2 linked regions of the Rattus norvegicus genome follow. The protein of the gene in region 1 purifies or fractionates together with the protein of each later gene. This does not show direct contact. Links are inferred from orthologs where the notes say so. Each region holds a gene or a part of one and is shown in the gene's direction. Other genes may lie near its edges.

Region 1 (4,015 bases):
TTCTATCTCCTGCACTCTAGAAGCCCTTGAACCCTTCTGGGAAGTCCTTGAGAGATCAGGTAAGTGGTGGATGGCCGTGATCACCATTAGAATGAGCTATTGGAGGGTATTGTCTTTCAGATCTCCTCTTGTTGCCTTGTTGGAAAGGGCTGTGTGAATTTCAGGGCTTTTGTCCTGGCCACTTTTTGTCTCAGAGTGTGGTGCCGGGATCCAGGTTCAGGAAGTAGGGTGATCTGAGTCCCCTCTTTATAGTTGAGCCCCAGGATGAAGATGAAGTGGAAGGAGACATGCTAGAGGATGAAGAGGAGGAAGGCCACTGGGAGGCCACTGCTCTACCAATGGATACATGGCCACTGCTCCAGAACCGCACTGGGCTGGTCTATGACGAAAGAATGATGAGTCACTGCAACCTGTGGGACAAGTATGTGCTCAGAAGGCTGGGTTAAGTGGTGCTTGACTCGCTCTCCTCAGTCCCTAAACCCTTGGTTCTGCTTTCTCCCACTACTAGTCATCATCCTGAGACACCTCAGCGCATCCTACGCATCATGTGTCACCTGGAGGAGGTGGGCCTTGCAGCACGCTGTCTCATCCTACCTGCTCGGCCTGCCCTGGATTCTGAACTCCTTACGTGCCACAGGTCAGACCCCATGCTAGCAGCGGGCCAGCTGTAGGACTCGAGGGAAGTGCTAGGAGTAGAGCCTAGGACTCTCCAAGATGGGAGACCCTGTTACCTAGGTAACAGGGTCCCCACCGTTCTTCTGTGGGGACGAGCCAGTAACTCTTGTTCCTCTATCTTCAGTGCGGAGTATGTGGAACGTCTTCGGGCCACAGAAAAGATGAAAACTCGGGATCTGCACCGTGAAGGTGCCAACTTTGAGTCCATCTACATCTGCCCCAGCACCTTTGCCTGCGCACAGCTTGCCACAGGCGCTGCCTGCCGCCTGGTGGAAGCCGTGCTTTCAGGAGAGGTGCGTCCATCTGTCTTCTCTGCCTGCCGGTGCAGTTTAGTTGAGGAAATGAGGTCCTGAGACAATAGAAAGAGGGACCACCTGCTGCCACTTAGGAGAGCACAGGCAGTAGGAGAGTCTGCTGAGAGGGTGAATGGCCTAGTGACTGGTAGTCAGGAGAAAGAGAAGAAGAGAGTGAGGGCCAGAGATACAGTCTCCCTGCTCCTCTCTACAGGTTTTGAATGGCATTGCAATAGTGCGCCCTCCAGGACACCATGCGGAGCCAGATGCTGCTTGTGGTTTCTGCTTTTTCAATTCTGTAGCTGTAGCTGCTCGCCATGCCCAAGTCATTGCTGGACGTGCCCTGAGGTAAGGCCCGCCCCCCAGACACCCTAAAACCTGATCTTTACAGTGACCTGGCTACTCCTTAGTCTTCCTTGGTAGACCTATGGTCACCCCTGGGAACTTAGACAGAAGCAAGCAAGGGTCCACTCAGCAGCGCTTGACTACAAAAGAGCCAGGATGGGTGTGTTAAGGCATCAATCATGGCATCTAGGTGCTTAATAAACTGGGATCCAGGCTATCACACCAGCATTCCTGTTCCCTAACAGGTTATCCCAACAGAACCCAGGCCTGGGCTCCTAGTACTTACTCCAAAAGGCCTAGGATTTGCCATGTGACCCTTAGCCAACCAGGCCTGGGACCCTATTCCCTATTCAGTCCCTAGAAAAATCTAGGGCCTAACCTCAATTCTTGTTCAGCCCCATAGGTTCAGGAAACCAAGGTTGGACCTTCATTCTTACAATAATAGCAATGCTTTCTCATTATCTCCATGGTCCTGTTACCCAGCAACAAATGCTTCTGAGGACCCTAGCCAGCAGTGGTCCACTCCTAGGCCTAAGTGTCCCAAGCTGCTAAAAGAGCTCTCTCCCTCCCCAGGATCCTAATCGTGGATTGGGATGTTCACCATGGGAATGGAACTCAGCACATATTTGAGGAAGACCCCAGGTGAGTGATGGAGCTGTGGGCAAGAGGATGGTACCAGAGGGTGAGGCATCCTGCGACCATGCTCATAGCCCTAACCTGCTGTGGCCCCTTTCTCCTCCCACCCTCTCCCTGGCAGTGTATTATACGTGTCCCTGCACCGGTATGACCGTGGTACTTTCTTCCCCATGGGGGATGAGGGTGCCAGTAGCCAAGTAGGGCGAGCTGCAGGTACAGGCTTCACTGTCAATGTGCCCTGGAATGGGCCCCGCATGGGGGATGCTGATTACCTGGCTACGTGGCATCGGCTGGTACTTCCCATCGCCTATGAGGTAAGGCTCGGCTCATTATATGACAAGGCTGTAAGTGGCAGCACACATCTGCCTCCTTGACATTTGTGTTTGACTACCAGGTGACTAATCATATGATGGCTGTTGAGACAGGGGACAGGGGTGATGGCCTTATGTATATGTCTGCCCATGCACATGCTTGTAAATGGCCTTTCTCTGACATTTTATATGTGACCAACTGTCTTGGCTATGTGTATATATGCATGTGTGTGCCTTCTGAATCTGTCTGCTATCCTGAGTGCATGGCTGTAAGAGTATCCCTAAAAGATGCCCTTGTGGAACCGTGTCAAAGACATACACGTGTACAATGTTACATAGTTGCTGTCATCTCCTTTCTGTGTGTGATATTCTCTGTCATTGAATGCATCTGTCTTGTGATAGCCTGAGAAAGATTCTCTGAATGTGGGAAGTAGGTGTCATCTTCATCTGTCTCCGTCTAACCAGGTCTGCATGTCTGTATATGGGTCTCTCTGGCTGCTTTGACTCAGGGGTGACCTGGTGTGACCTGAGGACAAGGCAATGGCATGTGTGTGACTGATACTGCAGTGAGGACACAACTCTGTCCACCCTTTCTGTGTCAGTGTAACTGCTTATAAGTGATTGGGCATGCCCTCCTGTGGGTGTGAACAGCGTGTCTGTAACCATTGGCACTGTGGTCATAGTAAGTGTATCATTGCCCTGTGCAGGGGTGGCTGTGTATTATTGTCCCCGTGAGAAACCAAGTGCACATATGTGTAAGTGGTGGGATTTGCAGCCCTGTCAGTATGGAACTGTGTGGTTGGGAGTGGAGGTATACGACACTTTTATTAGTCTATAGTCTGTGTGTATAAAAGCCTGTATCATGTGCATGTGTGTCCCATATTTACTCTTGTATGTGAGAGAGGTTATGTCTCTGTCTCTGTTTCTCTTGGCACTATCTCCTGCCTTCTGAGTCTCCATGTCTCTTTCTCTCTGTGAGCCATATCTATCTCATGATTCTGTATCATGCCCTCTTCTGTCAATTTATAGTGTCTCCCAAGAGATTTTAACATTTATTTATGTTATATGTATGCATGTTTTGCCTGCATATATATTTGTATCACATGTGTGCTTCATGCCTATGGAAGCCAGAAAAGCCAGAAAAGGGGTTGGGGATTTAGCTCAGTGGTAGAGCGCTTGCCTAGCAAGTGCAAGGCCCTGGGTTCGGTCCCTAGCTCCGGGAAAAAAAAAAAGAAAAGCCAGAAAAGGGCATCTGATCCCCTGGAGACTGGAGTAAGACAGTTGTCAACTACCATGTGGGTGCTGGGAGTTGAACTCAGGACCTCTGGAAGACCAGCCAGTGCTCTTAACCACCGAGCCATCTCTCCAGCCTCTCCCAGGGTCTTGAGTTTCTGGCAGGTATACTCTTGTCTCTTCCCAGGCTGGCGATGTCTGTTTCTCCTTGTGACCTTGTCTTCTGCAGCTGCTTTTCAGATCTCTGGTCTCGAACCCTCTGGGTTTTGTCTTGCATTCCGATGTGTCAATGTGTCATGTGCCTTTGTTCTCATCACTTATTGCTTCCCCAAGCCTTCAGGCCATCTTCTCTTTTTTCCTTACTGCAGTTTAACCCAGAGCTGGTGCTGATATCAGCTGGCTTTGATGCTGCCCAAGGGGACCCACTGGGAGGCTGCCAAGTGACACCTGAGGGTTATGCCCACCTCACCCACCTGCTGATGGGCCTTGCTGGTGGCCGTATTATTCTTATTCTGGAGGTAA
Region 2 (4,720 bases), on another chromosome or scaffold:
GGCAACACAGGGAGACTTGGTTTAAGAAACAAACAAAACTCCAAGTGGAGCAATGACCTCATATCAGAACTAAAATAGGGCTGGTGAGATGGCTCAGCGGTTAAGAGCACTGACTGCTCTTCCAGAGGTCCTGAGTTCAATTCCCAGCAACCACATGGTGGCTCACAACCATCTATAATCAGATGCCCTCTTCTGGTTTGTCTGAAGATAACTATAGTGTATTCATATACATAAAATAAGAAAAAAAAAGATTTAAAAAAAGAACTAAAATAATTATAAGCAGATTAGTGGTGACACAGGCCTATGAGAAGTAGCAGCATGGGGATCAGAAGTCATCCCCTACCACCATGGAGCTTGACATCAGCCTGGGCTGCAGAGTGAAAGCCTGCCTCTAGAATATACAATATCTCATGCAAGCTTCTCCAAGCCCAATCTCATTTGTTTGCTTGTTTGCTTCAGACTGTATGTATTTCTGCCTACCCTGGAATTTACTATATAGACCTAACTGCCAAGAACTTGTAGCAAATTGTCTTTCTGTTTCCATAGCGCAGGGGTTAGAGGCAGTCACTAATGGCAGGTCTAACAATCCAAAATTTAAAAATAATAGGTAACAGGGTCTAGAGAGACATCTCAGTGGTTAAGACTAGTAGCCACTCTAACGGAGGACCAGTATTCAATTCCCAGAACCTTCATGGCAGCTGACAACCATTTGTAACTCCAGTTCAAAGGGATCAGACACCTTCTAATGTCTAAAGGGCTTGAGGCATTCATACTCAAGGATGTTGTGTACGCAACTTGAATGTTCATCAAAAGAATCAGTACACAAAAATGTGAACACACACACACACACACACACACACTGCCTTTAAAAGAAAATTCCATCATACAATAAAATATAAACCTTAAAGACTACATTTAATGAAACCAGCCAGTTATAAAAAGGCAACTCCCATTTGATTCCATCGCATGATGGGCTTAATCAATATTTCATTGTCAGAAATGGGTGACAGTAGTAAGCAGACCAGTATGGTGTGCATAGGGAATTTCAGAACAGCCAGAGTTATACAAAGACACTTAGTCTCAAAAATTGAGTTCGGACAGAACAGCATGTAACTGCAGTAAACAAGAGAAGCACAGAAATGGTGTTGTTTTGAAAAAGAGCTGAAGATGACAGTGACACTCGGGAGACTAGGTTCAATCTCCGATCTGAGTTGTCACCCTCACCCCACCTACAAAGCAGAAAGTTTTGGCAGAAGAAAACAGAAAGCCGAAAGGCTCAAGACTGAGGCATCTGATAGTTGTCTGTGCCAGGTAGACGTGATGGATCGGCTGGACTGCTTGTCTTCTGCGGTCCGGCGACTATAGGAGTCACTCTGATCGATGCAGAACAAAGCCTGGCTTTCAAGATTTCTCCCGTCAACCGCTGGGACCAGGACAAGATCCTGAACTGGAAATCTTCCGCAGAGATGAGGGACAGGCCAGCCCGGGCGACAATTCTGATCGAGCTTTTCCATTTAGGTACTACTAAAAACCATGGTCGGAAACGGGGATTCGGCTCCTCAGTGGACCAGTCTGGTCGGAAACGGGAAAAATTAGCTAAGAAGCGGCTAACATTCGTGATAAACAAGTTGCCCTGTCACCGGGAACATCCAGAATACCAACCAACACCTCACTACAAACCAGCCTCACATTATTCCGGCTAGTACCGCCCCCGGAAGTACCACCCACCTCAACTCACTTCCGCCGGCTCCAGCTCGGGCTATTCTCGCGAGAACTTAGAGTGCTATGTGACCTGGGCTAAGCGGAAGTCGGGCCTCTTTTTCGTGACGCCTCCTAGGCGGTCGGCTGTGTCAAGATGAAGGTAGGCGTCCCTGACTGGGACTGAGTGAAGCAGTTCGAGTCCCAGAACGCGGGACTGCCTCAGCCCCAGGCTTTCACAAAACCCGGACTAAGCGGGGAAGGGTCTGAGGCAGGAGGAAGCTTGCTTTTAGGGCCTTGGGACCCTTTGGGAGAGCGGATGGCGGGCGATTGCAACGCCGCGACAGCGGACGTAGAGCAATGGCGGCGCCCGGTACCCGACCGGGCACATGCGGGCCTGAAGCCCCACTTGCAGCGGGTGTCCCGCGGCATTTGACCCCTCCTGGACACTCTGCTATCCGAGATCGCGAGGGTGAATGCTCTGACGTCCTCATAGCATTCTACAGAGCTTTGGCAAAATGTTCCATTGACGTGTGGCACTTTGCAGGGCCTGCGAGTCCGAGTCGTGGGTTTTCTGCTGTGTGTGGGAGCTGCTCAAAACGTTCTGCGCACGTGAATTGTTGAAGTTGTGTAGGTGCCTAAAGTCGTCTTCTTTTGCCCCCTTTAAAATCCTAGCTGAATATCTCCTTCCCTGCCACTGGCTGTCAGAAACTCATAGAAGTGGATGACGAACGCAAGCTTCGTACGTTCTATGAGAAGCGCATGGCCACAGAAGTAGCTGCTGATGCTCTTGGTGAAGAGTGGAAGGTAAAGTTTTTGGCATCATTACCCCAACTCGTCACAGCAAGTGCTGTTGGGTTTGGTTAAGTTTCATTGCTAGAATCAAATTTGGGGAAACGTGCCAAGAGGAGTCTCTCTTGCTTGTTATAATTCAAGGCCTTAAGTCTTGCGTGTTGTAGTAAGACCTGGGTAGTTAGGAGTAGAAGTTGAAATGGAGAGATTGCTTGTTGACCTTAGTTGGAAACGGAGACAAAAAAGTGAGTGGCTGAAGTTGAACTCAGTTGTTCTTCCTAATGGGGTTGCACACAAGAAGTTAAGAACCACACTTTGGAACAGAACTGGTAAATGTACCGTTTTATGTTCGATGCAGGGTTATGTGGTCCGGATCAGCGGTGGGAATGACAAACAAGGTTTTCCCATGAAGCAAGGCGTTTTGACCCATGGCAGAGTGCGCCTGCTTTTGAGTAAGGGGCATTCTTGTTATAGACCTAGGAGAACTGGAGAGAGGAAGCGCAAGTCTGTCCGAGGATGCATTGTGGATGCCAACCTGAGTGTTCTCAACTTGGTTATTGTAAAAAAAGGTAAGGCTTTTGTTGGAGTTTATTAGTTGAAATTGGTTGTCCTGGACACAAGGTTCTGCCTCCTAGGTAGTGGGGCATTGACCAAAGTGGGACAGATTTGATGTCTTAATTCCGATTGTTTCTTCAAGGAGAGAAGGATATTCCAGGACTGACAGATACCACTGTGCCTCGTCGGTTGGGACCTAAAAGAGCTAGTAGAATCCGAAAGCTTTTTAATCTCTCCAAAGAAGATGATGTCCGCCAGTATGTTGTCAGAAAGCCCTTAAACAAAGAAGGTAACAGGGATTTGGGCCTTTGTGCTATTGCTGCAGCTGTGCTTGCCACACAGCTAAATTCATGGCTTCGGCATTAGGAGCGACAAGGATTTTTTACAAAAGTATTCTCATTTTAACATGAAAAACTTTTAAAGCACTTTGTGTGTATGTTGGGGGGGTTAAAGGACAACTTGCAGGAGACAACATTTTGGAGGGACCAGGCTCTAAGTTGGTGCTTTGGATTACAGAAGAACCACTTTAATTTACTAATGAATGGCTCCACATATTTTTCATCTCTGGGACATAGATTGTGAAAATCAGGAGAAACACCCATTTTAAAGGGAAATGTATGAACAAATACATACTTTTTAAAGCTTTTATGTATATGAGTACACTGTTGCGCCTTCTAACACCAGAAAAGGGCATTGGATTCCATTATAGATGGTTGTGATCCACCATGTAGTTGCTAGGAATTGAACTGTGGTCCTCTGGAAGAGCAGGAAGAACAGTCTGCTCTTAACCGCTGAGCCACCTCTCCAGCCCTCATAATGTTAATGCTTCAGTAGGAAGCATAGCATGTATATTAATACAAATAACTCAGGACTGTTGACTTGTATTAAGAGTGTGCTATTAGAGAGAATGTGTAACTTAGTTGACAAAAGGTTTAAAAATGGTCCATCATCCCCTCATGAGCAGTTCAGAGTGGCTGAACTGTAGCAGAACTTGGCTATCCAGCTTATTTTACAAGGGTCTGAGCTGAGATGATAGCAGGGTTCTGTTTCTAGAGAGGCCTGTAATGTGGGGTAAGGAGTGTAAATCCAAAAGGCTAAAATGAATAATTTATAACATACCGTTAATTTCTAATAGTAGGCACGGACTGAAAATAGGATTAAAACATAAATGAGAAGTTGAAAATACGGTGGGGTTATAACAATGCAGACCATGGGGCCAGAGTAATACTTATGTTTGGGGGACAGCACTGGCCTTGGGTAGATGGTGGGGACTGAGTTGGGCTTGGGTGTGCTAGGCGTGTGTTATACACTGGGCATCGCCATCCAGCATGGTGGATGTTAAGTGATTACTCATCTGGATTTTTAGGTAAGAAGCCCAGGACCAAAGCGCCCAAGATTCAGCGTCTTGTTACTCCCCGTGTCCTGCAACACAAACGCCGACGTATTGCTCTGAAGAAGCAACGCACTAAGAAAAACAAGGAGGAGGCTGCAGAATATGCTAAACTTTTGGCCAAGAGAATGAAGGAAGCCAAAGAGAAGCGCCAGGAACAGATTGCCAAGAGACGTAGGCTGTCTTCGCTGAGAGCTTCTACTTCTAAATCTGAGTCCAGTCAAAAATAAGTCTTTAAAGAGTAACAAATAAATAATGAGACCTTGAATCTCTTTTACTGGCTTT

What was found.
Region 2: the proteins of Hdac6 (region 1) and Rps6 purify together in Homo sapiens (affinity purification with mass spectrometry; 3 studies listed by BioGRID, with this or other methods). This does not show direct contact. The link is inferred for Rattus norvegicus from reciprocal best matches to the Homo sapiens genes HDAC6 and RPS6.

What each region holds. Positions count from the first base shown.
Region 1 is NC_086039.1:17,236,515-17,240,529, forward strand, and holds part of Hdac6 (histone deacetylase 6), read left to right. Parts: coding exon 1-59; intron 60-252; coding exon 253-421; intron 422-508; coding exon 509-637; intron 638-799; coding exon 800-968; intron 969-1,182; coding exon 1,183-1,316; intron 1,317-1,886; coding exon 1,887-1,955; intron 1,956-2,070; coding exon 2,071-2,263; intron 2,264-3,861; coding exon 3,862-4,011; intron 4,012-4,015.
Region 2 is NC_086023.1:106,417,661-106,422,380, reverse strand, and holds Rps6 (small ribosomal subunit protein eS6), read left to right. Parts: upstream 1-1,840; 5' UTR 1,841-1,855; coding exon 1,856-1,861; exon of another isoform or gene 1,862-2,373; coding exon 2,374-2,505; exon of another isoform or gene 2,506-2,848; coding exon 2,849-3,059; exon of another isoform or gene 3,060-3,187; coding exon 3,188-3,334; exon of another isoform or gene 3,335-4,411; coding exon 4,412-4,665; 3' UTR 4,666-4,701; downstream 4,702-4,720. UniProt on the Homo sapiens protein: Component of the 40S small ribosomal subunit. Plays an important role in controlling cell growth and proliferation through the selective translation of particular classes of mRNA.